2 linked regions of the Arabidopsis thaliana genome follow. The protein of the gene in region 2 interacts with the protein of the main gene of each other region in a pairwise test. Each region holds a gene or a part of one and is shown on either strand. Other genes may lie near its edges. The genes, in order: AT3G18250 and AT3G52640.

Region 1 (14,030 bases), about 13 Mb from region 2:
ACCACCTCGGCCCAAAGCTCTCAAGTCTTACCTCAGACTGAAAACACTTCAGCCCAAACCACCTCCCATGTCTTATCTCAGCCAGGTACGTACACAACTATGGATCAACAACAACAACAACCTCTGGCTCAACAACCTTTCTTACACCAAGGCGTTCAGTATATCCCTCACCCATCACAATACATACCAATTTACTCTCATCAGCAACAAAACTACCCTGTTTACGTGATGTCCGTCCCACAATCTCAGCAGTATATCCCAGCAGGAACTCCCCCGCTCTACCCGAACTCAAAACCCGGCACAAACTCGAGACCTGAAGCTGCCCAGAACGTTTACCGAGCTGCTCCCCCTCAGGTTATTCAGCTTCAGCAACAGCATCAGTACATGGGTTACGCTGGAGCTCCTCAACATAGCACAAACGCAAACGCCAATTACGGTACTGGAGCTCCTCAACATAGCACAAACGCAAACGCCAACTACGGTGGACCCTTTGAATACACAAACTCTCCAAACGAGACAGTGTATTACCACACACAAGCTCCTGCTGCAAACACTGCCATTCCATTAGCGTCTCCATACCAAAGCATGACACCAGCAGCAGCCGCAGCAGCTCTAGCCGATATGTCCAAGCAAATGGCTCTTGACGGCGGCAAACAGCAACAGCATATGGCTGCGTCTCAGCCGCTTTAAACGCTGGATCTTTGGTAATAAATGCGCAAAGTGTTAAGTATAGCCGACACGGCGCGCTCTGTTCTTTTTGCGTATTACATGTAACGTCCTGTTACATCTCGTTAGATATACATAGGATTTGCTATCTCGTTGTTCTTATCGTAGTTTGCTTATGTCTCTCTCTCTTTTCTGATAAATAAATATGTTTTGGATATTTTTTTAAGTTCTATATTGGAATTATCTTGATCCGAAGATTACACAAAAACTCAAGAAATGGAACACCAGTGTATACTAGATATAGAACTGTGAAGTGATCTGTTGAGGTTGCTTCATGCTTTGTCACTTTAAGTGATGCATTCAACACTTGAAAACTTGATATTGCCGCTCAGAAAAGAAAAAAACTCCATTAACAAGTCAAGAGAACAATTCCAGCTTTTTAAACACAACATAAATCTCCATTAGCTTCATTACTTATAAAACGTTCAATCACATATCTCCACCATGGCCTCTGTTAAGACCATAAACATGTAGCAGTGATTGAAGTAACCAATTCATCCTCTGCAAAACTTGATTCCTTAGCTAGCTTCTAGGATTTCCTCATGCGCATCGAGATCAAAATCCTTTGAATTCACTCGAATCATATGCATAAAACAGAATCATCTTAGCCTCTAACCTGAGGCTCTTTGATTCAACTTGTAGTCAATCTCACCAACAGCTTATACTATTGTAGATTCACGTCAATAACCTGATTGAACAAACCGAGTTTCAAAACAGTACCCCTGTTCAACCATCTTGTTAAACAGAACACACCAGCAACTTGAAACCCACTACTAGTAGTAACCTTTACCATGTCACTTATCAGCAAACCTTGTGATATCCCTAAGACACGCCCTTAAAACAGCTTACATATCAACTCTAGAATCCTTGATGTATCTTTCAAGCTGTAAAGAAAAACCTGCAATACTTCTTCTTGTATGCAACTACCAAAACGAATTTGGCTATTACACCATTCAATTTGCAGTCTTTAGTCAATGCCCTTCATTTTCTTAAAAACAAAATCCTTCACTTGACTGACCTGCAGATAACTTCCCATGAGTAGACACTTACGTTGTCTCGTCATCAACCAAGACAAATTTATGCTCATGAGTTGTTGTCTTCTAAATGCAATTTGAATCCTCTGCATTTGCATTCCTTTCTAGGACTTCTTTTCAGCTGCTAACACCAGCTTTGAGATGAGTTGTTTATCAGGCTTGATACACAACACTTTCATAGTCTTGAAGTGAAATACCTTGAGACAACTCCTGCAACACTTACACATGTCTCTTTTCAGTTCCTTCTTTAGAGAATTCATTGAACCACTTCAATAACTTCATCTCTATTTACACGTTAGTGTCTTTTCTGAAATTTGCAGCCAGCAACTCCTATCTAGAAACCTGCAATTTATTTCTGAAAAATCTGCAGTCTACTTCTAAATGACCTTACCAACAATCAGCTCCAAACCAAGCCTGTATCCACCTTGTACCATCTTTGAGCTGAAAACCCGTTGATAATAAACTGTTCTTGACTTGTTTTCTTATAAGCATATTGAACTTCCATGAATCTGATAAACTAGTGAATTACACAGCCCTTTAACTCTTTTATCTTCAGCTAACCTTCTAAGACAACATCCACAAACATAGCTCCACCATGAAAAAATAACAACCTTAAGTATATGTATTGCTAACTAAACCGGACAGATGAAACTAAACCGGAGATTAAGACATTTAACCAAATTATTGATTCAGGTTCTGTAGCAGATTCAGGTATGAAGAAGAGCTTTTTTCCTGTCACAACCTAAAACCCTAAATCTCTGATCCGCCATGAGAGGAGCTCTCTTGAGAAATGCATCTCTCTGCGCTCGCAGAATCATTCTTTCTCCTCGTATAACCCATCAGATCTCCCCCAATGTTCCCTTTCTCGCTCCAATCGCCGCTCCTGCTGCTCCCAAGTTCAGATTTTTCTCCTCCGAATCCGGTGAGAACTCGACTACGGCCCCTGAGTCTTCGCCGACTGATTCACCCGAGAAGAAAGATCTCGTTGTAGAAGATGTAAGCAACAAAGGTAAAACACACTCTATCCTCTTGTTTGGTTACCTCACACTTGAAATGGCCTTTGTATTAGTTGAAATGTGTGAGTTTAATTCTCATCTCACCATTTCTCAATACCTCATAGTTTTCAATTGATCCTTCGATACAAGATTCGTAGCTTCTTATCTCATGAACTAGTAGAATAGCTGTAGGTAATCGTTTGAAATTGACTTCATTTATTGGATTTTGTGGTCTCAGAGCTTAAAAGCCGTATAGAGAAGTATTTCAATGAGGGTAATGAAGATGCTTTACCCGGAGTTATTGAAGCACTTCTACAGAGAAGACTTGTAGACAAACACGCAGAGACTGATGATGAATTGTTGGAAAAAATCGAGTCTCTACCTTTCAAAGATGATGTCAAGGATGAAGATTTTGAATCCGATTTCGAGGAAGCACATTCTACTGACGAAGAACTTGAGGATTTGTACAATTCTCCCGAGTATGTAGCTGAAAAGATGAGGAAGAATGAGTTTTTCAACATGGATGATAAGAAGTGGGATCACATGATTAGAGAAGGTATCCAACATGGGTGTCTTACTGATACTAAAGAATGCGAGGAGATTCTTGAGGATATGCTCAAATGGGACCAGCTTCTTCCTGGTAATGGCTCGTTTATTTTCAATCTTCCCGTTCATCGACTCACATCCTTAGACATAGATTAGGTTGATTAATAGACTAATGTGCGTCGTTATAGCTAAACACAATCTCTTCGTGGAACTTAGCTTTTGTAGTTAACCTTTCTATTTGGATTTTTCTGAATCATGGTATGAGAAGTTGAGAACCATTCGTTTTTTTAACTCGTAGAAGGTAATGTACTATGCCAGATATGTTACTTCTCGGATCAGTAGGGCCGTTTAGAGAATATATTGGTTTGTTCCTGTGATGCGTACATATGAACATTTCTCTAACTGTGTATGTTCATTCAGATGACTTGAAGAAAAAGGTTGAAGCAAAGTTTAATGAGCTTGGAGATATGTGTGAAAGAGGTGAAATTGAGGCTGAAGCAGCTTATGAGCTTTTTAAGGAATTTGAAGATGAGATGGTAATTCAGTATGGGGATCAGATGGAAGCTGAGGGTCCTCCCCAATTTGGTGAAACAGATGCTTCCGATAGGAATACTGACTTGGATGATCCCCCTGGTAAAGGCCCAATCCTCAGGTGGCAATCAAGGATAGTTTTTGCTCCTGGAGGTGATGCGTGGCATCCAAAGAACAGGAAAGTTAAAATGTCTGTTACAGTGAAAGAGCTTGGGCTCTCAAAGCATCAGGCTAAAAGGCTAAGGGAACTTGTAGGGAAAAGATACCATTCGGGGAAAGACGAGCTTACAATCACCAGCGAGAGGTATATATAACTATAAATCTTAAGCTTTTCGTGAGACAAGAATGTTGAATCATGAAATGTTTTTGTCCTGTCACAGGTTTGAACACCGAGAGGAAAACAGGAAAGACTGCTTAAGAACTCTTTACGGGTTGATAGAAGAAGCTGGGAAAGCCAACAAGATCGCTGAAGACATAAGAACTTCATATGTAAAACAAAGACTCCGTGCCAATCCAGCTTTTATGCAGAAACTACAAGCCAAGATCATAAGGTCTAAAGAATCAGATGCCATCAACGCTTGAACAAAACTTTTCCCGGTTAGCGCCTTTCTTGTCTCACCAAATAATCTGTAGGATCGTCTTCTTTTGGCAATCATTTGATCCGTTATGGCTTTTCAGATCCATGAAGAATCTTTGATGGTAACTCCTATCTTAGTTTGGTTTGCTTGTTGTATCTCATGAAGACATGAACCTTGGCTGTGCTGTTGGTGTCTATTAGAGACTAGTTAACGTTTTCTCAGAATTATGAATCTCTCCTAAAGTTAAGGTTTCAGATATGTTTACGGGTTCAGAATGAAAGTAACCAAAGGAAAGAATTGGTACAATTTTTGTTTGGGTTTTGTATCAGATGTCTTTCTAATTTTTAAAGAAATTCAATCAGTAAGATAAGAAATGGAAACTAAATAAATTATTGCTTCAATATACGATAGCTATACATCTATAAACGAAAGTAAAATGGTCGGACTGTTCTGTTTATATTTTCCTGACGAAGAAAAATGAAATCTCAACCTCCACAACCACCACCGCAACCGGCACCGCCACAACCTCCGCCACCGGTAGAGGTGCCTGAAGTGGCTCTGTTGTCGGAGACTCCGTCGGCACAAGAGAATAACAGAGCGGAGAGGATACAACAACCGATCACAGCCAGGAACACAACATGAAACAGGTAACTAGCATCGAAATGTGTTGTTGTGGTGGCCATGCTCATTACATCTTCTAATAAGTGTCTCGCCATCTCTCTTTCTCTAGTTAATGTGGATGAGATTAAGTTGTTTAACGTGAAAAGCTTTCCTACTTATAGCCGATAAATTCGTACGTAAGGCCACTGACTTTTGATAAATTATTCGTTCAGTAGTAAGATTTCTTTGTAATTAAATTTTTCTTTTTAAGAAAAGAAGACTTATTTGTTAAAATATAGAAAAGACTGCAATACAAGACTTACCAGAAAGTCATCCATTTTAGTCTACTATTCTCCTCCTCTCAACTAAACACATTTGACTGCGGAATTTTGATGGAATCACGTATATTAGATGAAGATAGGACCCGGTTTATAATAATTTCTAGTTGAAGATTATGTTTCTTTAAAAATATAAAACTTGTAATTCGAAAGGCTAGGCTAATTTTATAGGTCAAGATTATATTATGCTTTTAAAGAAATTTAAAGTTCAATATTTGATAAATTACATACATAGTTCTAGTTAAGGTTTTGTCGAGGAAGTTTAGTTGAAGATAAGGATTTTTGACCATTTACATTAGCGTGAGAAAAGTCAAATGCCATAATATAATTATCATTAATCATAATGTATAAATCAGCTTGAATTGCCTCGTCTTTTTAAAAAAATTATAAATATTGAAGTGATTGTTCATGGCCTTTGTTAAATCCAATAAAAATACAGAGATTTTGTACTGTTTAGTTATTTATCATTGGTTATCATTGATTGTTCATAACTTTATGCATGAGAAGCTATTAAGTCTCTCTCTTCTATTTCACGTGGACTCCATTTTTGTTGTTGGTCCAAATTTGACTATGCAAAATCAAATTCTTATCAAAGGACTTTCGACGTAACCCAATGTTCTTCCCTTTTTTCTTTTGGCGTCTTATTCTTCTACCACTAACCAAATTTAATTCATCATGGATTATGTAATTTCGTAATCTAAAAGCTTCCGAAACATTTGACCAAACAAGAATATATAACTCCGTAATATATATTTTTATTTATGTATACAACTGCCAAAAAATACCAAACTTCCATTTTTTACCAAAAAAATATCAATTTTTTTATTTTATAAGTATCTAACTTTCTAACAAAACTTATAAAATACTTTACGTCCATACCACATATTTTGACGTACGCAGTTTGAACTAGCTAGGTGTGAGCATCGATTTTTGGGTATAGTATGTTTCAGATTTTTGGAAAAATTAAAGTTCCTTAATAAAAAGGAAGATTGAAAAATGTGTTAGAATAGTCGATGTTAAGCGAGAGAGAAATTGTAGGTTAAAACAAAAGTGAAAAGTCTAACTCCACTTATTATTAACATTGTCATTTTCAAAATAACAAAATATCTCTTTGACAATTTTGTAGAACAATTGGTATCTATTTTAGACAAAGTTTGGTTTGGACAAAAAACGAAAATTTGGTATTTTGTTTTGTATTTTTTCCCATACATGTAAACAAACGTACGTATCTTGATATTTATCCGACCACTTTCGCTTTCGATTTAGTGTTTATTTATTTTATTTTTATAGAAGAAAATTATTATTGAAAAAAAAATAGCTCGGTTTTGGCAAATCTTAACGTTATAACAGGTTTTAGGAATGTGATGGTGATATAATGTGCAACAGATTTGCAGCGATGTGCTGATGATACCCGCTTTTCAAGTGATTTGGTCGATTTATAGTTTATTATTATACTCATCAAGGTTAAAACTAGACCAATATCATTAATTGGAGAAAGTTACCATAAACAAGTTCTTGTTAATTATTTCCCTAGAGGCTTGATTTTCACAATTTCACATCATTATTCCATTTGATGATGATTATCAGATCTTAACTTCTTCTTCTTCTTTTAACAGATATGTATATTAATTTGGGTTGATGAGGTCGCATAAATACAGTAGCAAACACATTATCTCTATAAGTAAAGAATGATCAGAATTAAGTAAATTTCTTGTTTTTGACAGTTCCTCTTGGGATTTTACTAAGAACATTCGTATCGACTTTCTTGTACAGCTTCTTCATCTTCCTCATCAACTTACCCGCCGCTGTATCCACGTCGTCCTCGTACATCTCATACATAACCGGTAAGGTTTGCATGCTTACAAACCCTGAACGACACGACGTCCATTAATTCCGTTAATTAATAAAAGGGAATTAAATCTACATATATAGTTGAGTATCATGACTTAATTCTTCTTACCTATGAAGAGAAGATTCACAAAGTTGAAATATGTCCCGATGATGGATACGATATAAAGCGAGATCGTTGTCTGGAAATATAGTAACCAATTTAAGCAAAATAATAATGAATCCAAAGTTATATATATATATATATATAAGTGGAAAATTATTATTCTATATAATATCTTACGAGAAAAAAGAGAGGAGGATCTCTTCCACAAGCAACGTCAAGAAGCTTTGTGAGGATTTGGTTGAATCTAACATGGAAGCTTCTTGCTAATTGTTTGAAAGAAGATTCGTCTAGTACAACTTCTGGTATTAGTGGTCTTTCCCTGCAATTTTGTTTATTTAATTGTCGTTTTATTGGTAAGGAAATCTTGTAATTTGTATATTTTTAACCAATTGATCATGAGAAATTGAAAAAAGATTAATCAAGTAAAGATATAAACATACCAATTGAGAAAATCAGAAGCAGTAGACCAAATGAAGAAAAAAAGCATGGAGGTCATGGAAGCATGACAAATTAGGGTTATGAAATTGTATTCCACTACTTCCATTAAGAACCATAAGATGCTCACTCCTATCACCAATGTTGCTGCTATTTTCGGCTCTCTCCATAACAGAATATCCGCAACTGTTAATCACGAATGCAAGTTGTTAAAATTTAGTGTTTGTCTACATTATAATTTTGGTGATAATTTTGGATAATAGCAAAATAAAATGTGATATTTGAAGAGAATTGATGGATATAAACATGTACTTTCACACACGCATACCGATTGAACCGATATAAAGTTTGAAAGAGAGTGAGACAAATACCTTTACCACCTCCAAATATAGAGTGAATAGATCGTTGACGAGTGAAGAGCTTAGTTGTTTTATGGATCGTTCTTTCGTCTTCAGAATCGGAGGACGATCCCGTAAATATTGGCATGGTTGGATCAAATTTATTAAGATAAAAGTTACTGCGGTAAGAAACAACAATGAAATGAATGTAATCACTATGTAAAATAGTTGATTTGGATTAGGAGAAAATGTGAAAAGCAACAAATATAAGAAGAAAGAAGAAGAGATAGGTTCTAGGCTTGGGAACAAAGGTAACAAAAACATATTCAAGAAGCAAAGAATGGGAATGGTTTTGACCTTGTTCCTTCTCCCATTTATTTCTTCATCTTCATGTCTCAATAAACTATTCAAACCCCTCACGTACGTTGCATATATTTTAACTGAGTGTTATCTTCCCGGTATAAGTGAAGACCCGAAGATCTGGTCTAAACCGTAGCAATTTGAACCGAACCGGTTTATAACAAGACGCCGATTTAACCGGAGTTGCTGGAGTTAAGATGATTCCGTTCGGAATTGGCCGTGGGATTTGCCCGAGGCTTGGAACGACAAATTGGTGTTCGCGGTGGTGATGAAGAATCCGCTGAGATCAAAAAATGTTTTCGATTTTATCATCATCTTCTTCTTCACAACTCGTCAATTCAACTCTCAATTTCCAAAATTCGCCGAAATCTCCGATCACCGTTATGTCGAAGACGTCTAAATTCAAAACCCTGACGGAGAATTTCACCGTGAGAGTGCTTAAAGCAGAGAATCGCGAACTGAACGTGGCTCTGCTCTCACCTTTCACTATCGCTTCTTCACGGCTTGATTCTGTCAGTAATGTTGCGATTCGGATTGAGCTCAACGATGGATTTGTGGGTTGGGGAGAAGCTCCGATTTTGCCGTCGGTAACGGCGGAGGATCAGATAATGGCTATGGTAAAAGCGCGGGAAGCTAGTGAGTTTCTGAGAGAGTTACCGGAGATGAAACTCGGTAATGTTCTTCAGGAGATCGGAAGATTTCTTCCTGGTCATCAGTTTGCTTCTGTAAGTCTGACATCTTGTATAGTTGATGCTAAAGTTGTGATTTTGAGGTCAAGTTAAAGTTCAAATTTTGGGTCTACATTGGCTTTGATCTTTCTCTCAAGGAAGAAAATAAGAAAATTTCTGAAGTGGGTTTTAGGTAAGAGCTGGGATGGAGATGGCTATGATTGATGCAGCTGCTAAGAGTGTAAGAGTGCCATTGTGGAAACTATTTGGTGGAGCTTCAAGTACGATTACTACAGACATAACAGTTCGGTTCTAACTTTAGCTCTTCCTGCTACAATTTCCTTTCAATTTTTGTGTGTTTGCAAACAAATTCCTAAAGTTTATAGTCATTGGCTCCTAAAGTGATTCAACTATGACTATAACTTAGATTATGTGTGTTAACACTGCATTCATAGTTTCTCAAGTATGAAAGTATGGAATGTTAATGGCTTGAAATTTGGAGCGTATGAAGTTTTGAATTGTTTGTAGAATGTTAATGGCTTGAAAACACCGGGAACACTAATAAATTACTCAAGTATGAAGGTTTGTGTGATTTGTGGTTCTCAGATTCCGATAGTTTCTCCGGCTGAAGCTTCCGTATTGGCCTCAAAGTATAGAAAACGAGGTTTTGAAACCTTGAAGCTCAAGGTGGGAAAGAATCTTAAGGCTGACATAGAAGTTCTCCAGGCTATACGTGCAGTCCACCCTACTTGTTCCTTCATTTTGGATGCCAATGAGGGTTATCAAACAGAGGAAGCTGTTAAAGTTCTCGAGACGCTGCATGGTAAACAGGTTTCTGAATCATTTTTGGAATTTTCTCAGTTAGGTATTGAGCGCTAGAGGTTTTAAAAAAGGATAGGTGTTTGGAAAACTTCTAGCCTGTTCAAACTTTAGTAGCTGGCGTTTCTTTTCTCGGTTAAAACCTGAATTGTTGTGATTGTTTTGCACAGAAATGAAGGTTACACCGGTTCTCTTTGAACAACCTGTCCACAGAGACAATTGGGAGGGTCTCAGTCACGTGACTCGAACTGCAAAGAACAGATTCGGAGTCTCTATTGCAGCAGATGAGAGTTGCAGAGGCTTGACTGATCTCAAAAAAATCATAGAAGGTAATATCGTAGATGTTGTGAACATCAAACTCGCCAAAACCGGAATCCTCGAGTCTCTTGAGGTAATTGAATTGGCTAGATCATCTGGCATTGAGCTTATGATAGGGGGAATGGTGGAGACTAGATTAGCAATGGGGTTCTCTGGTCACCTTGCTGCTGGCCTTGGATGCTTCAGGTATACTCAAATTTGTAAACACCACATTTCTTTCTAATGTGAACATCATAATTCTAACAAGTTAAGAAGGAATACACAGATTCATCGACTTGGACACTCCGCTTCTTCTGGCTGATGATCCAGTTCAAGGTGGCTACAAAGGTAAAATAGTCTCTGTTTTCTTCATCTTGCATTTTTCCTTGTTAAAAAGATGATTGAAATTCAAAATGAACAAGTCTAATGCTTGTGGTTTTGTTGACAGCATGTGGTGCTGTCTATGAGTTTAAAGATGAAGGCGGTCACGGAGGATATCTTCAGTGGAATGATGTTGCTCAGTGAAATTCCTTTTGTCTACTTAGGTCCCTTTTCTTTTGTTCAATAGGATTTTAATCGTAAGTTTAATGTTGGTTTTGGGTTTTGTAAAGGCTAATCTTGGTCCTAAATTCTCAGTATGTGTTAGTTGAGAGTGTATGTAATCTAGAATCTTTGTAACTTCAGCCCCAGGGAGTAATAAGTGTATGAATTCATTACAGTGATCTGCTTGATATCTGTCTGAAACACACAACACAGGTCTAAGTCACAGAGCTTATAATAGATCACAATATGTGATTCTTGTTTCGATCTTTGATTATTGGGGATTTCATTTGCAGAGTCTGTTTTGTCAACTAATTCCAGACTTTTATTTTAGTCATTATTTGTGAGTATTGATAGAGAGAAAGTGAAAATGAAATTGCTTTTCTTGTGGAAGAAATAAGAGCAAAACTGGTAGGTGTAGTGGTGACTGGTGAGGCGTGAAAATCTCAACAGATGTACAGAGATTTCTGGTAAAGGTCCAATTAAACACTGGACTAGCTATTTATTTATTTTTAATTACAGAAAATATTATTTGGCTAATTACAGAAAATAAAATGTCAATTTTTATGGTCATCTGAGTTTTGAAAAGAATCCAAAATAGAATACAAAGCCCAACCAAAAGAATTTAAGCCCTAAAAAAAAAAATACCTATAAACTAAGTCGAAAAAAAACTTTAAATTTTTCGGAAACTAAGCTATATGCAAGAAAAATATAAACACTAGAATTATAAAGCAGAACTCTTAAAGCCAAAATCCAAAGATATCGAAATCATATACTAAGAATAGAGACAAACAAACTTAAACCCGAAGAAACACCACTAAATCCAAAGACAAAACATGGTCTTTTTTTGAAAAATTTACGAAATAGATTTACCAATGTTTTTTTTTTGTTTTTTTTTTAGATGTACCAATGTTGTTCATGGCCAACCCATCAATGACATATGCCTCCTCCTATTACGAGGAAAGATGATATTTCGAATCCAAGTAACCAAGACTTTATAACTTGGCAAGCAAATGCAAAAAATGAGCTTAATACTTGGCAAGTAAAATGTCAACTTGCCAACTTGTCAAGAATATGGCTTAAATGCGTATTCAAAAAGCTTAAAATGTCAAACCAAAGTTGACATTGGTGGCTAGTCCGGAATGGATGAAACCACCCTTTAAAAAAGTTTTACCAAAAAAAAAAAAGAAAAAGTAAAATGTCAATATAAACAGACAAATACAAATGTTTATTCAAATTGTATTGGTAAAAGCTAATTTTGAGAATCGTTTTCTAAAAACAACCAGCACAATCAACAATTTTTTATATAAAAAAATCTCTAATATGAAAATTCAAAAACATGCCGTAAGATAATTATTAGTGTTTTTGTTTAAGATAAAGTTATGTACGTTACACTTTATTTATATACAAATTATATGACATGTATAATGCACATTAGAAGGAGCTTTTTAATTAAATATTTACACAATATATTTTATTACATATAAGAAGAGCAATAATAACAATCGAAATTGTGACATACTAGGCGTGAGAATCTTAAAGTTTATTTCACGATAGATAATGTTCTGGACCCACTTTCTCTTATTTCATTCAATCATTTACTAATACTATTTTGTTTTAGTTTTTTTTTGAACAAAACTACTAATACTATTTTGTAAGCCTTGTTAATTTCTCTGTGATAAAGTTATATAGTTTCGTTGTTACAAGGATGTCATCTCCATTTTCTAGTTTTTGATAAGAGTAAAAGTATATCAACCCTCAAAGTCGAGAACACATGTTTGCATGAGCTACAAAAACAACAACCAACCAATGTGTGTGAAGTGTGAACATATTTGTTGTGAAATACGCACCAAACATTCCATGTTCTCCTTGTAGTTTCAGTTCAAATGCTACACTAAAGAGAAAATTGGATATGTTCATTAATTTACTACAATTGTGTCAAAAGAAGAATGTTCAATGAGTGATTGTGGAAATGATTATTCACACGTATCCCAAAACGCACGCTTCATCTCAAGATCATCATTTTGTAAAAAAATATTAATTGATTTGTTGTTGTTTTGTGTGTGTGAGATTCATTGAAGTAATAATGACGATAAAGGAGACGGCAACAAATATTGGCACGACACAAGTACCATCACCGAAAGTCCTCGGCGCCTCTTTCGCCTCCTAAGTTTTCCTACTTCGACCCCACTTTGTTTTTCGTTTGTTAAATTCCTCTTATTTTTGTGAATCCATATATAAAAAAAAGTTCTTTTCATGGATGAATATAATCGTATTTGGCTATTTGCTGTGTTTTGTCAGTATAAATGTTCACTCTTATCAAGTAGTTACTTTTTTGGTCGACAAATAGAGGAGTTAAAATATATGAAGTTATATATATTGAGTGTTGATTTATAATTTGTAGTGCTTCTTTCCACTCAAAACAAGAAAAAAAAGAGGGAACAAAGACTAAAAACGTTGACAATTAAAAGAAGAAAACACTGAAAATAAATGAATATATAATTAAGATATTAGTATCGCATTTTTTTTTTTTGAATACTTTCCCCAATGTTACCCATATGATATTCATCAAGTCAAAGTCACGAGAGTTCTTAATATGCATCCACATTGTTAATATTCCAATGCAATTATTTTAGTTATAAGCAATATTCAAATTGATTTAAATTTGGATGGCATGATACTATACGAATGCATGATAAAAAAGCATCGAGCTCTTTATTAACAACTACACCAAAGGTCATCCACCAAACTTGTAGATTATAATTATATATGTTCTTCCAATACTAAACTAAAATGAAAACAAAAATCGAAAAACGAAACAAATAAGAGGCCGCACTATAAGCAAGTGCACCAATAGATTAATACTGGTTTATAATTTTTTTTATAATCCATATAGTATTTCTTAATAATTTTCTTCTTAGAAAATACTAATATAGTAGAAAAAATTAAGAAAAAGCATTTCACTTTCCCACTCTATAAATAGGAGGAGATGTCAAAAACCACAACACACCAAAAACACATTTCTATAAACTCAGAAACAAACAAAAGATCAAGAAGAAACATGGTGATGATCAAGACCACAATGGTTTCCCTTTTTGCTCTAGCGGCGGTTCTCCTAATGATTCTAGCCCCGGCGGCAGAAGCCGTGACGTGCTCGCCAATGCAGCTAAGCCCATGTGCAACGGCGATAACGTCGTCTTCTCCACCATCGGCTTTGTGCTGTGCAAAGCTGAAGGAGCAGAGGCCATGCTTATGTGGTTACATGAGAAAC
Region 2 (19,280 bases):
GACGTACCAAACTCCTTAGAGAGATCTTTCCGTCAAGGAGACCGACATCCACAAAACCAGCAAACGATGGTTTGTACATCCTCTCCTTGGCGTCAGTCCCGGTGTCTTTTTTGAGACTCGAACTGTTGATTTATTGTGATTAATGTTAGACACTCTCAAATTGTAATTAACAAAAATCATATATAAATAATTGAATTAGTGAGTTAGGAAAACATACGGCTTGGCGTCAGAGCACATGAGAACCTTAGGCTTGTTGGATGCGGCATCTTTGAAGACTCTAAAGAAAACAGGAGTGTATTCTTCTAAGTCAGATGTAGCCAACGTGATCAAACCAAAAGGACCAACTCCACCATTCACATTCGAACCTTTCAAGTTACATAACTCTAGTGGTTTAGTTGCGAAGCTTTCGTCAAACTTTTCGGCCTTCTCTAGATTTCCAACGTTGAATGTCACATCCACATCCACCTGAGCAGGAGTGATTCCTTGGACCTCAAAGCGTTGGCCCATCTCCATTTTCTGGTTGGTCATTTGGACATTCTTTCCTCTCAATGACTCAATCTCTTCAATAGGCCAAAACACGAGTTGCTTACCGCTAGAGTCAAGCAAGATTGTTCTTGGGATAAGCTGAATTCCGGCCCAACCCTTCACGGTATCATCTTGAACGGTGTCGGATTCATTGGCCCACCCCCAAAGAATTCTTCTGTTCGTCTTGTCATCAAAGAATGTCTTTGACGCATAGTAGTTACCATAATCAAATCTCAAACCATCCCAACCGTCAGGAGTGTAACCGTCTGGCCTGTAACGATCCTTCTTGGTGTCATACGTTCCAAGAGTGTAGTACTCGTATCTGGTCAAGTCCAAACTAACCTTCAACACATGCTTGGCGTTTGGACCGTCGTAGCTGAAGTCCAAACCGTTTTTCTTGTCGGTTACGGATACCGGGAAGAAATCGGGACATTCCCACATACCGGTTTTCTTTCTTGAGTGGATAGGACGTTTGCTTTTGACCCATTTTTTGAAGTCACGGCTCTTGTACATATAAGCAATTCCTCTGTTCTTTCTCTTTGAGCCAACAAGCATTCTCCAATACCCATCTTTTTTGTTGAACCAAGCCGTGGTCGGGTCACGGAAAGCGGATCCGTTCTCGCCATTATCGGGTTTTACGATGGGGTTATCGTCTGGCTTTATCCATGTCTTGAGGTATGGGTCGGAAAGATCTTGTGGAATGGCGTAGTTTTGAATCTGAGTCTGGTTCTCGGTGATACCGGTGTAGAGGATAACCGGTCCTTTTCCCGGTACGTGGGTAGCTGAACCGGACCATGTACCGTTGATGTCGAACCATTTGGATGGGTAAATGGCTGGTTCAAGGGCTTCCCAATTGATCAAGTCCTTAGAAACCGAGTGAGCCCACACAATGTTACCCCAAACCGCACCTTTGGGATTGTATTGGTAGAAGAGATGGTAAACTCCCTTGTAGAGCATTGGAGCTGTTGCAATTTTTGAATATTGTTACATGCAATCATATATATAATGTTTTTGTCATTAACTTATAAAAAGGGAAAAATATTTGTAATGGACTTACCATTCGGATCTGTTGGAGTCAAGAATGCCATAACGAAGGCAAAACAACAAACCCAAGGAATTTATGTTAGAACAATGTATTTTGGTTGATATAAACAACCCTAGTAATAGAAGTTGAATAAATATGAACTTGAATAAGATGTCACATATGTTGTACCGTTGATCCAATGGCGGGGAGGTTGAAAGTGATAAGCGGTTCTGTGAAGAGGACTTACTGACTCCAATGATGTCGATTTTGATTGCAATTTCTTGAAAACTTTGTGAAATGCATCGACGCCATTATTGCTAATATTGATTAATACAATCAATAGTAATACATAACCAAACTTTGGAGCACTCATTGGTGCAAGAGAACTCTATGATCACAACAATTTATTTTGATTTTATTTTTGATGTGTAAATAGTTTTTGAGAAAGAACTCTCTGATGAAAAAGATATAGTTTTCGTAAAAGATATAGAAGAAAAGAGGAGGGAAAAGTAGAGTACTTTGAAGATAATATGGATCCGTAAAATAATCCTAATCTCACGCTAAAATAAGAAGTACACAATGTGGTTTGCAATCAATTTACTTTTGTTGTCTTTTTAATCCATTTTTAACAATTCTTTTATTGGTTTTGTCGAAGAAAAGAAAAGGTGTAAAGTCAAATAGTTTGGTCAATTGTTTTAAGGTAAGTAATAGTAATATCGAGGAAAATAGTAGATAAAACTAATTTTGGTTTTAGATCAGAGTTTTGTTTTGTCTATTTTTTTTCCTTCGTTTGTTGTTTCACATTTGTCTGGACTTAGGGGTACGTCAATTGGAGAGCAGGAGAAGAGAGTTAGTATTACACTAAACTAATTAAGTCCACCCATGATCTATCTATCAAAACACTAAGCAGAACCAATCGAAATACATAACAGCACAAGAAAGGTCGTACGTCCTTAATTATATATTGTAGTTTTCCATTAGGTACTCTACATACTATATAACCCACGTCGCCAGGATGGTGATGGATTCTTCTAAGGAAGATTGACTGATGCTAATCTATCTCTTGTCAACCAAAATTCTGCCGCCTGAATCCGATTCTTTGACAATAGAGTCGCTGCTAAAGAGCTATCTATAGTGTAAAATCCAAACCATCTATATGAATAAGAGATATTACTTGACAGTACTCTTCAAGGCTATCTATAGAATCATATCGTTCAAACTGTTGTTTCTTAAAGAGCATCTCGTGTGTTTTATCTTTATTAATCTACATTCCATATATGTTGCAAGCTGAGTGAGTATGCATGAGTAAAACAAATAGTTCCACTTAAACCTTTTCCAAAAAACCAAAAAAAAATCCAATTATTTGACCTTAAAATATAGGGAGAGGTTTATATAGTATTGCCTAAACGTGAGCAACGTAAAATTAAAGACGCTAAATTCGTAAATGCAAAATCATTTCTATTTGGTTGATAAACCGGAAAAATTACACTTAACCGAGTAAAAGGTACGTCACTGTATCTTCCCCATATTTACCCACCTGACAATATATGATACAAGTAAAATCTTAAAATCCCAAAAAAGTGAAAACAATCTCTCTTCTTTCTCAAGGATAATGAGTGAGCCAAATCGGGTACCCAAATCCATGACCCGACCCGTCGGAGGAACCGAGTACAGCTGGTGCAGAGCGATTGACGGCGGCACAGGTATCGCCGTCATAGCTCTCTTACTTTCCCGAACACCAAAACTCCAAAATCTCCAAAATACCCTCGACAAACTCCAGATTTACCACCCCACTCTCCGTTCCAACATCCGTTTCGACGCATCCGCTAACTCCTTCTCCTTCGTCGTTACGTCCGCCGCCGATTCTCACGTCGAAATCCATCCCTTCGATTCCGTATCTACGGCTCAGATCATCCGAGACAGCGACGATCCATGCGCTGATCCACACAGAATCATCCTAGAACACGAGATGAACAAAAACACGTGGATCAATCCACACCGTTGGATCAAATCCGAGTCACGCGTGTTTATCGTCAGTCTCTACGATCTAACCGACGACGGAGAGCAACGGATACTCACATTTCGGCTGAACACGGCGGCGGTCGATCGTACTGCGGCGGTTACGCTTCTGAGAGAGTTTATGAAAGAGACGGCGGCTGATGGTTTCGGAAACGGTCCCGTGGTGGCGGCGACGGAGACGGCGGTGGGATTAGGTAAGGCGATAGAGGAGCTGATTCCGAGTGGGAAAGGGGATAAACCGTTCTGGGCGCGTGGCATCGACGTGCTTGGTTACTCGTTAAACGCGTTTCGGTTTTCGAATTTGAATTTCGTGGACGCAGAGAATTCGAACCGGAGATCGCAATTGGTGAGGCTCAAATTGGATAGAGATCAGACTCTCAAACTTGTGGCTGTAAGTTACTCTCCACACCATTCGATTAATTAATTATGTGCTAATTACTATTATTACGTGTTAACCATAGAGTATTAGTATTTGTTACCATTTTTGCGTGTATGAATATAAAATAAATATCTCACGAGGATTACATAAAAAATAAAATAATAGTTACTTTTATTTTATTGTTATGTACATAATTTTGAGTAATCCATAGTCTACAAATACTCATTGTTGCAATTACATATGCATACATTGAAGGGCTCTACATTTAGTTTGTAACTCAAAAAGGACTAAGAGGATGATGGTTTGTGCTAAAAAAGCTTTAGATTGTTTCTGAAAAGTTGGAGCAATTCAATCACTATTTGTAGGGATGCAAGGCAAGAGGGTTAAAGTTATGGGCGGCATTAGCGTCCTCGGCGTTAATCGCTGCGTATTCCTCGAAGAATCTACCGCCATACCAAGGAGAGAAATACGCCGTGGTGACTCTTTCGGATTGTCGTTCCATTCTTGAACCTCCTCTTACTTCAAATGACTTTGGTAAGCTCGAAAATTTGGGATTACTATAGCCTTTGATGATATATATGAGGAATAGATGTTCATAGATTATCTTCTCATGATTGCAACAAATTTTTTATGAGCTAGTGATGATACGGTTCAAGACTGCATTTTTGTAGTTCTTACTAGACATTTTCAAACTCGTTAAACTAACAATGGACAAATGCAATTTGATTTGGATGTTGTAGTATTGATCTTATGATTTGAACTTGATATATTTCTTATTTTGTTTCCAGGTTTCTACCATGCAGGGATCCTTCATACACACGATTTAACCGGAGAAGAAAAGCTCTGGGACCTAGCCAAAAGATGCTACGACTCGTTCACATCCTCCAAGAACTCGAACAAGCAGTTCACTGATATGTCAGATCTCAATTTCTTAATGTGCAAGGCCATAGAGAATCCTAATCTCACGCCTTCCTCTTCTCTGAGAACCGCTTTCATCTCCATATTTGAAGATCCTGTTATCGACGAGTCTCCAGAGCCTGAATTGGCTTCTCTTGGGGTGCAAGATTACATTGGATGCGCGTCTATCCACGGGGTTGGACCGTCGGTTGCGGTTTTCGATGCGCTTAGGGATGGAAAATTGGACTGTGCGTTTGTGTATCCTTCGCCATTGCATTCAAGAGAGCAGATGGATGGGCTGATTCAACATATGAAAACTATTCTTTTGGAAGGATCTGCTTCTTCCTTTTGATTTGTGTTTTGACAATCAAAACTCTCTCTTTTGTCCAGAGGCATAGATGGTCTCTGTAAAAAAATTAGTCGAAATAAATTAACTTCAAATTCTCCTCATAGATTATTGCAAACATCTATCATGAATAGAATAATATAATATTCTTTAAGAAAACAATTCAAATCAAAGAAATATGTTAGATGAATATTGTCATACACAATTCTATTTTATAATAAATTTAATTCAACCATCCAAAATGTTTGAAAAAAAAGTGAGCATTTATTGTCAAAAATAGGATTTTAGATTGGAAACATAAGGTGGAAGTGAAACTGATAAAAATTGAGGAAAAAAATATAGAAAGTGAAAATTGAAATATTTCATTTCAGTGGAATCAGCAATATTTGCGGACAATAATTTAAGAATTGAGCTAAAGAAAGCTTATGGAATCAGCAAACTCCAAACTATTTTTAGAGCACAAGACTTAGCCACAAAATCCAAACTTACTTGCCTCAGTTTCAAGCTATCTTCATTTTAATTTGTGTTCAAATCATCTTTTTGTAAGAAAACAAAAATCATAGTGTCAAAAATGGCAACGGATACAACAACTTTTCCTGAAGGCGATGCAGAAGCTGAACTTAATCCTGGCCAAAACAAGAATTTCGAAGTAGATCCTGTTTCATCAGAGATTGCTTCTGAAAAGGTAATTAGTTGCTTATAGAATTTAATTAGATTTTATATATGACAAGATTTATGATATCTCATTATTGAATGGATGTGTTGATTTTGCATGAGTTTCAAATAAACCACCAAATATTAAAAGCTTTTATCACTTTTCCATGTACAAGATTTATATATTTACTTTTGGGTTTGAAATGTGAAGGTACAAAAAATCGTAGAAAAGAGGGAAAACGCAAAGGCAAAGAGAGATGGGGCACGAACGCTTAAAAACACGATCATAGTATCAGCAGTGATTGTGGCCGTCGCAGGAGCCGCTTTTGCTATAACCAAGAAATTGAAAGAGAATAAATGATCTTATACAAGTTAATTTCTCAATTTTCCTTTGTAACTTTTCTTACATAAGAAATTAAGAAAAAAATAACTATTGACATTATATAATAATTATTAAAATCTCTATATTTTTTTATATGTAATTTTTAAAATTAAATAATGCAATTGAATACCATTTTTTGTTTTTTTCAAACTATGGTTTGAATAATGCGTTTAATGAATGTGTTAATTGTACCAACATCAAAAATAAACGAATTCTGGTTTTGTGAAAAAAACTCAACGATCCAAGGAACACCTAAAAGGCCCAATGGGTACAATACATACAGGCCCATAATCAAACGATTGGTCCCATTGTTTCTCTTCATATTTGTTGGCGCCATGTGAAGCTTTTCATTTCCCGCCCAAATTCTCTCCATAAACTCTCTCAAAGCCTAGAAAGTCCTCAGAAGTTAGGGCTAATCATTTGCAACTCCGACGAACGATTCATCTTCTCCAACAAGGTAAATCTTCTTAATCAATTCTCTTCCCTTCGATTGAATTTCTCAAAATCGATTTCCTGGTTTTCAAAATTTTTAATCCCTTTATCTTTGCTATTGAATACGAAACTGATTTACCAATTCGCTTTTGAATCTTTGAACAGTAGATAGCAATGGATACTTCAAGTCCTTCAGCTTTTGTGAACGGAGCTTTGTTGAGGAGATTCATTGGCCAAAAAGTCAGAACTGTGATTCAAGTGACTGGTTCAGAGATTGGATCTGTGGTTGGCAAATCTACTGATGATCTTCAGATCGTTGTTAGAGGATCGTCTCCTCCTTCTCCTCTTACTACTTACCTTGAGGTTATTGGAATTGCAGAGAGTGATAACGCTATTCGAGCTGAAACTTGGACCAATTTTGGCAACACTTTTGGTAATTTAGTGATTCCATTACTGTGTCGAGTTTATCAGATTTGCTATTGAGTTGTGTTTTGATGTTTTGGTTGTTATTTTTGGTTGCAGATACACAGAACTACAACGAGCTATGTAAGCTAGCAAATGGGGAGTTCAAGCACTTGTTCATCTAATGTTGTGATGATGATTATGATCATGGAAGCGATTCCATTAAAACATTTTGTAGAGATGCTTATGCTTTATATGTATTTGATGTCTCACCACTTTCTGGTTCTATGATTTTATTTACTTAGTATATGTAACAACTTCTTAATCTATCACAACTAAGCTTAAATTGCTGTTTTGTTAATTGAGGTACCAAAACACAAAACAAAACACTATTTTCTTCTTGGCAGCTAAGATTTTGCTCTGGATTTAGAATTGTATTGTTGCTTTATCTATAGGATTTTGTGAAAGCAAACTTTTTTCTTATAAATTTCTTGCCAGTGTAATAAAGAATTTAACATGAATTAGCTCAAAGACATATTTTAATAACCTTGGTTGAGAAAAAAGGTTTCTACCACTAAGGTATTGGTGGTGTTGCTGGTTAGGCAATGTCTTACGGAAACTGACAAGTAATTTTGAGCCGAGAGGAGAGGGAATTAAATACAAGTCTCAGTCCTGCTTCAAGGCTTTTGTGATGATTGACTTAGCAGCCAAAATTCCGATGTAAGCCAACGTTGTGACTGTAATACCTGCAACGAGGACTGCATTGTCGTATGCTGAGTGCTGGACTGTGTACACATGCACCCTTAAAGTGTCCCAGTTGCTTTCGGTCCACACTGGATCAACCATCCCCATAGAATCTGATGAGTTCTGTGGTAGAATTGTCCAAGCTCCATCGTTATACTTCAATCGAGTTGAATAAGCTGGAACATACCTGCCAAAACCAGAACTTAATGTGTTATGCTCAGACAGCAAATTGGTTAGGTCACATACAACATATCAGGTCAGGGGAAGAAGAAAATGATGATAGCTTCAATTCAAAGGTCAACAAACTAAAGATAGACTTTCTCCCAAGTCTAAAAACACTCCACTTCTGAAGCCTATCCTAATTAATAATTCCTATAAAATGCCTACCAGACTTAAGATTTTGGTTCATTTTGAGACATAAGAGAGAACTTGAGCATGCAAACCAAATTGCAATTTCCAAGCACAGAGTTTACCTGGTTGTGGAGACAACACATGTTCCTTCCTTGTTGCTCTCTGCTTTGATGCACACTTCGTCAGTTTTGCTACAGACTCCTTTTGAACAAACTGAGGTTGTATTTCCCTTTTGGACAGATGTTTTATCTGCCAGAAAGTTCCATAGGAATCTAGAAACATCACCGACGTAACCAAGGTAAGGTTTGGAGGAAGGTTCTCCGAGGATGACGCCAGCATAGTTGCCTGGACAAGTGTTTGTCGGTGAAATATAGTCTTTTACCAAGTTGCAAGATAAGCCCGGTTCACAAGCTAAAAGACAGGTTAGAAGCTCTTCAACGAAAGAAGCATTGACATGGATGGATCCCAGAGCTGAATTGCTTGTATCTTTGTTGTCACTTGCTAGGATGTAAAGTGTTCGGGCCACAACAGAAGCAGCAGCTACTACAGACGAGGAGTTGATATTTGCTGCAATACAACACCAGAAAGGAATCAAAAGTGCAAAATGGGGTTTGGAGCGAAAAGAAGAGAAAGACAGGCTGTGACTCTTCTTACACAAGTCATCGAGGTGACTATGGTAGAACTTATTCACAAAGTTGGTATCAAAGTCTTCAAGTACAACAGCTGAAGTCTGAGGGTTCTGCAACAATGAATATGATGTTATACCTTTTTCACTCTAGGCAATCTGGTTCAGAATCACATAATAGTAAGCAAGTATACTTCTCCTGTCATATTCATGATCAACTGAAGGTGAAGTATATGCAAAGAGTATAGTGCGAATACACATTTGAATTGTCTTCCCATCTATTTACTTGGAATATATATTGTACCTTTCTCATGAAAGCCATCAAGGAGGATGGGGGTATTCCAGGGTTTGCAGTATCTGCTGAAAGAATTTTGATGTTTTTTGATGCAAGTGAATCCTGAGCTATCTTTAAAGCATCCAGTGTCATGTTTGTAACTGAAGAAACCTAAAGCAGAACACCAAAAGTGGAGGTTAAGTCGCCTATGACAGTTTTCACATTATCGAACGAATTCGAATTATGCAAGAGTTTCAGGATATCAGGAATTTCTCACCCTTGTTTTATGAGCAAAGAAGGTGTTTATCCCTCCACTTAAACCTTTTCCAACAGATCCTATTTCAAGCACCTGTTAGATAATAGAAGAAGCAATCTGAATTCGATCTTTAGATTTAGAAAATTGTGAACATTCAATTTCACAAGGAACACTTAAACTTGCTTTCTGCGCTACTAAGAAACAAATAAGTTGCAGCAACGATGAAACACAGGCAACTTTTTCCACAGGGATTTCATGCATAAGGCTAGCTGTCTCTATCAACTTTGTCAGACCAAAACAATAATGATTACCGTTTCAATCGAAGTATTGCTAAGGCCTGCGACAGCATCTGAATGCAGATCTAATTCGTGTAAGAACCTCCTGCTGCCAAGGTAACCCCATGTCTCTCCGGTCAGAACCAAAAACACAAGCTGCATTCATTTACGATTTACATGTATTAAAGCTTGCAAACAACAAAAAGCGTGAAATAACACTAAATCACATGGTACACTGGCACCTGTTTTTTGAGATTACTAATACCATCAACTCGAGAAAGAGCATCAACTGCTCCTAGAAGAGCTACCAGACCCTGAAAGAAGGAGAACGTGTTGAGCAATAAATCGGGAAAAGAAGAATAAGAAGAGTAAATAAATGTATTCTAGATCAACCCAAAAGCAGAAAATAGCAAGTTCTCACAGATATTGGTGAATCTGCACCAAAACTTTTGTCACGGAAAAATGATGCAGTATCCATGGAGGCCACAGTCAGCACAACTGGTTTGCGATTGTTGGAAGACGAAACACTGATTGGTGGAAGCGAGGACCAAACACTGTCCTTCATAACAAAGTTGTTAGAAAACGAAACGTATCCTTTAAAAGGTTTTCATATGTCATTAGATCAGACAGTAATAAAGACCTAAATCTTTACCTATATCCGCCCAATGGGAGGCAAGTTCCCTCCTGCAAACAAGCCTCCGAATTGTGTGTTCCAGCTTTGGTAGTCTAATACAAAAAATAGAGAATTGGGTGTCATAATCTAAGTCAAAGTGAAGATCCATAAAGCTGGTTAACGTTCCAGTGAGCAAGATTGCTAAAGCCATATACCTCCATAACCATATTGAATTCAGCAACATCACTGGTATATGTTCCATGCTTCATCTTTTTCTTGGAAAGGATCTGCGCAAATATAATAGGATGTAAATATGTAGTCGATAACCTGAAAAAAGTGAAGCTATCCACATAAACTATACACTTTAGATTGCTACCAACACAACAGAAACATAAAGCTAGCTTCTTGACAGAACCTCATCTGGTAAGGACAACAACATACTATAGAATGACATAGTTGACCAGCAGTTTAAAGGCAACTACCACAAGACAAATGGAAAGGCTATGGTTGAGTCCAATTACAGGCTATGGAAAGCAACATGCATTTGAAATCTACAGATGCAGCTGGGAGTTGCCTTCAGCTGGATGAGACAAACATTCCAGGACCAAATTTGTATTCTTATTTAAAATGGGTAATCAATGCTTAGAAAAATTTCTGCAGACTAATTCAGTTTAAACTAGGAGTATTCATTTCATATGACCTTGGAGATACATATCTCATGCATCATTTTACAGCCATATTTTCATCAAGCAATACTGCTCTTAAGAGTGACCAACAGTCATAATGCCTCTCTAAGCCTTGAGTTCATTTCCTCATATTTCTAAAAATGTCATCAATTTCGCTTTTCTGACAACACAAATAGACACATTTAAAATTTGCAAAAGAATGCAAGTTTGAAGGATTACCTCATGCACAGCTGATATGCCACTTTCTGACAATAAGTACACAGGAAAATTATAATTTCTCCACATGATGCTTGATGCCTGCAAATAATCATTTTTTAGCAATGGTCAATGGCTAGAGACTTATCGCCTGCAACTACTCATAAGAATCAAAATCATTTTTTCTCCGTAGATAACAATAAGAGGAACTATCTTTTAATTAAGGTAGATAAATATGCAACAGATTTTTGAACTTCTTTATAAGTGATCATCTAGGCAGATACATGCATTCCTCCAGTAAAATTATACCATAAGAAAAGGATTTATGGTATTTGTGTGTTAGCAGGTAGTTAAGTTTAGTTCCAGAAGAAAACAGCATATAACTCGGAAATGCTTGACTATGGATTTGGTGATAACTGATTGAAACAATTTCCAACCCACTATAAAAGAGTTGACAGGAAGAAGTAATTTCAAAGATCCAGACAGAGTTTACGCTACCGTACAGCTGAATTCCATTTGTACTCAACGTTTTCATAGGGTGAAAACTGGGCTTGAGGAAACCTTTTATCAGGAGAAAACCCTACAATAAAGAAGAAAGAAACACTAACGCCATCAACATAGATAAGAAGTATCAAGTACTATTTTTAAGGGAATTAAGAACTCAAGACAATTTAAGGAATTAGCCATTCAAGTTGACAGAATCATAAATATGTGGATGGACATAGTACCTTTTAACTTTTGTTGGAAATTAGATCCTGATTCAACTAGAACACCACCAATTTTGCTAGCAAAGCTCAAATCAGTTGACACCCTGGAAAAGGCACAAAGAGGAGTGGTCCTGTTATTTCTACTGAATAGAGTGTCTAAGCGATGTACAAGTCTAATGAACAATGCCAGAAGTAAGCCAGACTGCAGGGTTCTACAGTAAAGTGTTTGGAGGTATACCTACTTTCCGTTAGTCGAATGAAAATAAAGCGGAAAAAGCCAATGAATTACTGGTTCCACTAAACACCTAATCCATGCACCAACAACCAAGTGACTACATTTCTAGCAGATTTCAAAAATGGTGATAAGAGGGTATACTCATTCCAATCTGTTGTTTCACTGTCATGGAAGATTACTAAAAGTGTTTGCCTTAAATACTCAAGTACTAATGAAAACAAACTCTTAGATATACGTTATTCTTAAGGATGTAATTGCCTTTCCAAAAAGGCTGATTTGGCACCCAAAAGCTAAATCTTGTTTGACGTTAAATAAAACACCAAAATGAGAACTACAAGCGAGTGGGAAAGCACTACTCCACAAATTAAGAGATCACTAACAAAATCGAATAGAGGTCATGAAAGTTTTGTAAATGAAAAAGGAGACATGCCTGGTAAAGAAATCTTCCATTTCATCAGCTGTAACCAAAATAGTGTGTGGCTGAACCAAATCTTTAACGTCCTTTAATTTTATGATTGGAGCCACCACTTTATTTATTCCAGGATCTGAGTATTTTTATAAACATAAAACTTAGAGGACCTCATCAACAGATAAAAATCATGTAGCTGAGAGGCCCAAAAGAAGCTTACTTGAACATCCAATCTCTCCAGACAGATTGAGAAGACGTACACAAGGAAACCCATCAACAGCAACATACATTAGCTTCTGAAGGTCAGGTACAGATTCAATAGATGTTATCTCATCTACACAAAACGAAACCTCAATTTCAGATTACAATGTTCTATCAACTAATACATTTCATCACCAATTTTATCCGGGGAAAGGAAACTCACCAGCGAGAGAGAGATGAAGAGGAAGGATTGAAAGTAGAACAAGTGTAAAAGCTATAGAAAGAAGACGAATAAGTCCCATTGCCATAGCATCCGTCAGAGAGTTGCGATTATTAGCGGAAGCTACTTGCAAATCATCGCTGCAGATACGATCAAGAATAATGTGACCGATTTTATAAAAGATCAAAAAATGTTAGAATCGGAAGAAGCAGTACCTGGGAAACGAAAAAAGGGGAAATTGGAAGAGAGAGCGAGAGAGAGGTCCGATTCGCCGGAGAAATGGAAACCTAGCTCGGAATTACGCGGTGGGAGTCTGAGTCAAAGACTGAGATTTTTCGTGTTGATTCTTATGTCTTTCAAAATTCCCAAGATATAGAAAAATTGAGGTATTCACATTTTGTGCGGATTTTATTATATTAAAAGTAATTAAGTGAACCTATCTATATATATATTTTTGCAGCCATTTTGTAAAATAAATCCTAGATTTGGAACTTATTTACAATGGCTGCCACTGGCTTTTATTTATTTATTTTCTTTTAGCAATAAATTGATTAACAAACAAAAAATATTCCAAATATATTCCAATCCCATATATCACGCAGATTTCTCCAAAATTTGAACTAGATTTCGGAAATTATTTAAAACAAAAAATATTTGACAAACCAAAATACAATTGCAATCCCTTAAAATGAGCAAAACGCACATAAATACATTTCTTATCAGTTCACTAAATCTTATTTCTCCAAAATTTGAATTAGATTTCGACAACTATTTAAAACAAAAATTTGTTTGACAAACTAAAATATAATTGCAATCCCGTAATTTTTTTTTTTAAATTAGCGGTGTACTACAAATTTTTTTAACGGGACGGGTTTGGCAGAACGGGTTTGGAAGGATGTTACTTAATAACAATTGTAAACTATAAAATATAAATATTTTATAGATAAATATAATTTACAGACTTTTATATATACTAATTTTAAAAAATAATTGTCTCCGCGGTGTACCGCGGGTTATAATCTAGTTGTTTATACAAAAAGAAAAAATATTTTCATTCCACATTTTCTTTTTTTTTTTGTAAGAAATTTGTATTACATTTTATGGCTTCATTTTTACAAAATCGTAGACTAATTATGATTGATTAGGGTATTATTTGCTAGATTATATAGGCAAGTTTTGGCTAAAAATTGATAAAAAAAAAAACATATTGTATATGGTAAAACTATAATTTTAAAGAAATTATTCCATATGTGATTTTAACAAATAACGTAGATCATGTATAAACTGCATGTTAATTAAGAAAAAACTAGTGTTAATTTTGAAAACAATGTGTAAAAAAAATATAAGGCGCAAATTCTCATCCAACTTGAAAGTTTTTTTTGCATAAAAATCAAATTTGTCGTATATTAAGATCGGTAATAAGCCGTAATATAAGATTGGTCGCATCATAATAAAAAGTGACTACACCTCCTTGATAGTCTCGCTTAGGCATCTTTTAGGTCATATCAATACAACATACACATATACATATTTTTCAACACCTGAGGTGCGCGAAGATAGACACTTCTTCATCCTCTCCGTAATTCTCAAAATTAGGGTTTTCTTCCGGCAGCTCTCTCAGGTACTTTCTCGCTCTTTCTTCTTTCATCTCATTGCGCCTCTCTTCGTTTCCTTTCGTGAATCTTTTTTTTTGGTTGGGGATCCAAAATTGGGATTTGTGTAACTCTTCTTATCTTAATTAAAAACTGAATCTTTCTCTCATTTTTGTTCCAATGATTGCTAAGTTAGCTTAAACACGCCTTTGATTGACATTTCTCTGAGTTATAGCTTTGTATGTGTATTGGGTTGTTCTTGGTTGTATCTATCATTGTGGTCAATTTGTGTGAAATAATCAAATAGAATTGTAGTTATAAGCTGAGGATTCTCTTAACAGGTTAGATTGGCAGCATAAAAAATATCACTTGCAAATTCTGAACAATGTCTGTTGTGGGAGATTCTAACATGGAGCTGGAGTTTTCTAAGCAAAGATACTATTTTGACTTTAGCCCTTCTTATCTTTCTTGTTGCCATGAATATTTTAACCTTCTTTGCATCTAACCAAGGCCTATGATATCATGGTTTTTATCCGCTCTCAGGGGTCATTTCGTTTCTTATCTTTTTTTGTTTCACCTGTTGAGCATTTCATCGCCCTCTTCTCTCTTTGTCTATTTGTTTGTCACCTTTTTAGCCGCATTATGGCAAAGCGTCAATTCGAACTTCTTATTCTTCTTTTCTATTGGCCTCTTATTGTTTCTTTTCCAACCTTTCCTCGGTTTTATTCTCTCTCCCCACTTGCTTCTTGCTTCTGTGTCTCCTCCACAGTTGTACTGCAAGCATTCTTTTCTAGATATTTAAGATGTCAAGGACGAGGACTGCTGCTTCTGAGGCTCATGACTCCATGGAATCTGAGGAAAGGGTAGACCTTGATGGTGACAATGATCCTGAGGAGATTCTGGAGGAGGAAGTTGAATACGAAGAAGTTGAAGAGGAGGAGATTGAAGAGATAGAAGAGGAGATAGAGGAGGAGGTTGAAGTGGAAGAAGAGGAGGAGGAGGAGGATGCTGTTGCAACGGAAGAGGAAGAAGAAAAGAAAAGGCATGTTGAACTTCTTGCACTTCCTCCACATGGTTCAGAGGTTTATCTTGGAGGGATTCCTACTGATGCTACTGAAGGGGACTTAAAGGGCTTCTGTGGATCTATAGGAGAAGTTACTGAGGTAATTTGACATCTTCTTACCTAAACTATGGTTGTGATTTAATTTATCTTGTGCTGAGTTTGGTGTGATATCAACAGGTTAGGATAATGAGGGAAAAGGATTCTGGTGATGGAAAGGGGTATGCATTTGTAACATTCAGAAGTAAGGACTTAGCTGCTGAAGCAATTGATACTCTAAATAACACTGACTTCAGAGTAAGTTCTTTGACCTGATTCTTAGTAAATTGTCTGGCTCTTATTTGTTTATTTACTTGATGTAATTCAATAGGGTAAAAGGATAAAATGTTCGACTACCCAAGCAAAGCATCGTCTCTTTCTTGGTAATGTCCCTAGAAATTGGATGGAGTCAGACATTAAGAAAGCAGCAAATAGAATTGGTCCAGGCGTTCAAATTGTCGAACTCCCAAAGGTTTGTCTCCTGCAACTTGGATAAGTTTCAGCCTATAGTGTCTATTAAGTTATTTCTGTAACTTTCATCTCAAGTTCATGTGTAATTTGTAACTTACAGAAGTATTTTTTCTATAGAAATTTAAGACATGCCTTTCTCACTCAGTTGATCGGTTTTCTATTTGGTTTTGTTAAAATCACAGGAACCACAAAATATGGGCCGGAATCGTGGATTTGCTTTCATCGAGTATTACAACCATGCATGTGCTGAATACTCGAAACAAAAAATGTCAAATCCGAGTTTTAAGCTTGATGATAATGCCCCAACTGTAAGCTGGGCTGAATCAAGGAGTGGAGGAGGAGGAGATTCTTCGGCTTCCCAGGTTTGCTTCATTAGAACCTTTCTTACTAATAAATAATAGAAGCAGCAACAAAGAGACATGTGTTCAAATGTTTTTCTTTCAAAACCATGAAAAAGATCTTACTAATATGCTGTGTGGAATGATTGCAGGTCAAGGCATTGTACATCAAGAACTTACCTAGAGATATAACACAAGAGCGTCTAAAGGCATTATTTGAACATCACGGGAAAATACTGAAAGTGGTGATCCCACCAGCAAAACCAGGAAAGGAAGACAGTAGATACGGATTTGTGCATTATGCAGAGAGGACAAGTGTCATGCGAGCTTTGAAAAACACTGAAAGATATGAGATTGATGGTATGTTCCATTCCGAATAATATTCTTCCGTATCCTCACATCTTTTGATGTCTAAATACCAAATTGTATCCTCATTTGTATATAGGTCATATGTTGGATTGTACTCTGGCAAAGCCTCAAGCTGATCAAAAGACGAATACAAATACAGTTCAGAATGTGCAGAAATCACAATTGCAACCAAACTATCCTCCTCTTCTTAGTTATGGCATGGCTCCTAGTCCCTTTGGTGCTCTCGGTGGATTTGGAGCTTCTGCCTACTCACAAGTGAGATTTCTACTACTTATCAATCAAATCATTATCTTTTGAGAAAACGTTATAACAATTTAAGCCTAAATTTGTGGGAATTGTGCAGCCATTAATGCATGCCGGAGGTCACGCAGCCGGTGGAATGTCGATGATGCCAATCATGTTACCCGATGGGAGAATCGGATACGTCTTGTAAGTTCTTTTCTATATTCCTCTATACTGATCTCATGCGATTCCTATATATAAGACACATGTACTGATCTGACGTGTTGAATGTTATAGGCAACAGCCTGGACTAGCAGCTATGCCGCAACCACCACCAAGGCATTCTCCACCGTATAGGGGAGGCAGCGGTTCGAGCAGCAGCAGCGGCAGCAAACGAAGTAGTGACAACGGTAGAGGACGAAGCCGTTACAATCCTTATTAGTAATTTCATAATTATGTTTTCTTTATTGGGAAAAACACCCCAACCAAGACACGAAAAACAAAAAGTCAATTTTAACCATTGTGTTTTTGTCTTTGTGCCATCTGTTTTGAGTTTTGTGTGACTCTTAAGAATTTGCGGGTAGCAATGGGGTTCGTTTAACTCGTGTTCTGTATATCATTGGTTTCCTGTTTGTTTTTTAAAAAATAATTTGTTTATTCATGTCTTTTTCTGATTATTTTATGTATGGTCCAGGCTTACTAAAGCCCAATAAAGGCCCAAACTTGTTATCGTTTCAAATTAGCACAATCACTCACGTCATCATCATATTAAAGCAAAATTTGTATCCGCCCCGCATTATCCAAAACCCTACCGGCCGGCTGTTCAATTCTGTATCCTCTAACGCCGTCTCGTCTCACAATTGGTGAGTTTCAATCTCTTCTAATTTTCGTGTTTGCGTTTAGAGCGTTTGAAATACGATTATAACACCGGAAAAGCAAACGCCATAACAACGATGAGAAATCAAGGTTTTACGAAGGAGGATAGGATGAATCAGTTGCCTGAAGATTTGATTCTGCGGATTCTGTCTTTTCTTCCAACAGAACTTGTCATAGCAACGAGTGTTTTGTCTAAACAATGGCGGTCTCTATGGAAGTTGGTGCCAAATCTCGAGTTCGATTCTGATGATTACGAAAGTGAACACTATACATTTTCAGAGATTGTTTGCAAGTCTTTCCTTTCACTCAAAGCTCCGGTTCTAAAGAGTTTGCATCTCAGTTTTAGATGAAAGTCAGTTAATCCTGTAGATATCGGACTTTGGATAGGAATTGCGTTTGCTCGACATTTGCGTGAATTGGTACTCTATGTTGCCCCGAAGCAGACCTTCACATTTCCGAGTAGCTTGTGTATTTGTAACACACTTGAGACTTTGAAACTCATACTTGGGATTCATGTAGACATACCTTGTCCGGTTCTTTTGAAATCTCTTAGAACTCTGCACCTTGATTCTGTGAGCTACAAAGATGAAGAATCTATCCGTAACTTGTTATCTAGTTGCCCTATTCTTGAAAATTTGGTTGTGTATGAATATTGGTATAATGTTGTGAATTTCGATATTGAGGTCCCGTCTTTGAAGAGACTTGAGATTTGTGACGTTCTTCACAAAAAAGAGTTTAGAAGATATACGATTAATGTTCCCTGTTTGAAATACTTGAGAATCGAAGGGTTAAATAAAGATTTTGAGCTTTGTCTGAATGCGCCGGAGCTGGTGGAGGCATATTTTACTAAAGGTTCTCTTATCATCGCTGATAAGTTTCTTGGTTCACTAAAGTCAGCCAAACGTCTCTCTTTGGATATATTAGCTTTGAAGGTAACTTAACCTTGCTATTGAATTTTTTGGTTATCTCATTGTTATTTGCAAGATTTATATACCAATAATTGTTTCATGCACAGGTTGTGTATCCTACTGGTAGTATCTTCTATTAACTGGTATATCTGGAGATGCATACACGTAGAGAAGAGTGGTGGAATCTACTTACGGTCATGCTCGATAGCTCTCCTAAACTACAAGTCCTCAAGCTCATTGATGTAAGATATATCATTTTATTATTCAGCTATCTACTTTTGATGGTCTCTCTTAGGGGTTTAAATTAGTGAAGGTCTAAGAGTAATACACATGAATTGGTCTCATCAGCATACTCAGGATGTAAGTAAAGATAATGTGGTTAGCGAGAAATGGAACGAACCAAAGTATGTTCCTGAATGTTTGTTGTCTCACCTCGAGACATTTGTGTGGATAAGATACGATTGGGAAAGAGAAGAAGAGAAAGAAGTAGCTACATACATTCTAAGGAACGCAAGATGGTTGAAGAAGGGAACTATCTCCACAAATCCCATCGA

The links.
Region 1: the proteins of AT3G52640 (region 2) and AT3G18250 interact in a protein complementation assay, tested with the Arabidopsis thaliana proteins (one large-scale study listed by BioGRID).

The regions. Positions count from the first base shown.
Region 1 is NC_003074.8:6,253,282-6,267,311, forward strand, and holds AT3G18250 (Putative membrane lipoprotein), read right to left. Parts: upstream 5,146-14,030; 5' UTR 5,127-5,145; coding exon 4,896-5,126; 3' UTR 4,779-4,895; downstream 1-4,778. Other genes in the region: AT3G18230 (Octicosapeptide/Phox/Bem1p family protein), read left to right, coding at 1-690; AT3G18235 (uncharacterized protein), read right to left, coding at 1,391-1,448, 1,576-1,649, 1,745-1,781, 1,872-2,020; AT3G18240 (Ribosomal protein S24/S35), read left to right, coding at 2,529-2,769, 2,994-3,395, 3,722-4,136, 4,213-4,414; AT3G18260 (Reticulon family protein), read right to left, coding at 7,047-7,216, 7,309-7,378, 7,480-7,621, 7,743-7,923, 8,109-8,223; CYP77A5P (cytochrome P450, family 77, subfamily A, polypeptide 5 pseudogene), read left to right, coding at 8,729-9,160, 9,297-9,407, 9,710-9,926, 10,093-10,426, 10,506-10,567, 10,668-10,744; AT3G18280 (Bifunctional inhibitor/lipid-transfer protein/seed storage 2S albumin superfamily protein), read left to right, coding at 13,749-14,030.
Region 2 is NC_003074.8:19,507,352-19,526,631, forward strand, and holds AT3G52640 (Zn-dependent exopeptidases superfamily protein), read right to left. Parts: upstream 13,194-19,280; 5' UTR 13,067-13,193; intron 12,992-13,066; 5' UTR 12,940-12,991; coding exon 12,855-12,939; intron 12,765-12,854; coding exon 12,651-12,764; intron 12,567-12,650; coding exon 12,452-12,566; intron 11,891-12,451; coding exon 11,808-11,890; intron 11,660-11,807; coding exon 11,583-11,659; intron 11,182-11,582; coding exon 11,104-11,181; intron 10,486-11,103; coding exon 10,414-10,485; intron 10,312-10,413; coding exon 10,238-10,311; intron 10,140-10,237; coding exon 10,007-10,139; intron 9,900-10,006; coding exon 9,828-9,899; intron 9,742-9,827; coding exon 9,622-9,741; intron 9,404-9,621; coding exon 9,332-9,403; intron 9,226-9,331; coding exon 9,085-9,225; intron 8,895-9,084; coding exon 8,278-8,894; coding exon of another isoform or gene 8,274-8,277; exon of another isoform or gene 7,992-8,273; coding exon 7,727-7,991; 3' UTR 7,522-7,726; downstream 1-7,521. Other genes in the region: CWINV2 (cell wall invertase 2), read right to left, coding at 8-122, 218-1,487, 1,583-1,591, 1,739-1,922; AT3G52610 (GATA zinc finger protein), read left to right, coding at 3,162-3,959, 4,313-4,481, 4,736-5,196; AT3G52620 (uncharacterized protein), read left to right, coding at 5,762-5,875, 6,056-6,205; AT3G52630 (Nucleic acid-binding, OB-fold-like protein), read left to right, coding at 6,833-7,091, 7,181-7,245; AT3G52660 (RNA-binding (RRM/RBD/RNP motifs) family protein), read left to right, coding at 15,247-15,606, 15,684-15,800, 15,874-16,014, 16,196-16,375, 16,504-16,711, 16,797-16,975, 17,064-17,149, 17,240-17,384. UniProt on the Arabidopsis thaliana protein: Probable subunit of the gamma-secretase complex, an endoprotease complex that catalyzes the intramembrane cleavage of integral membrane proteins such as Notch.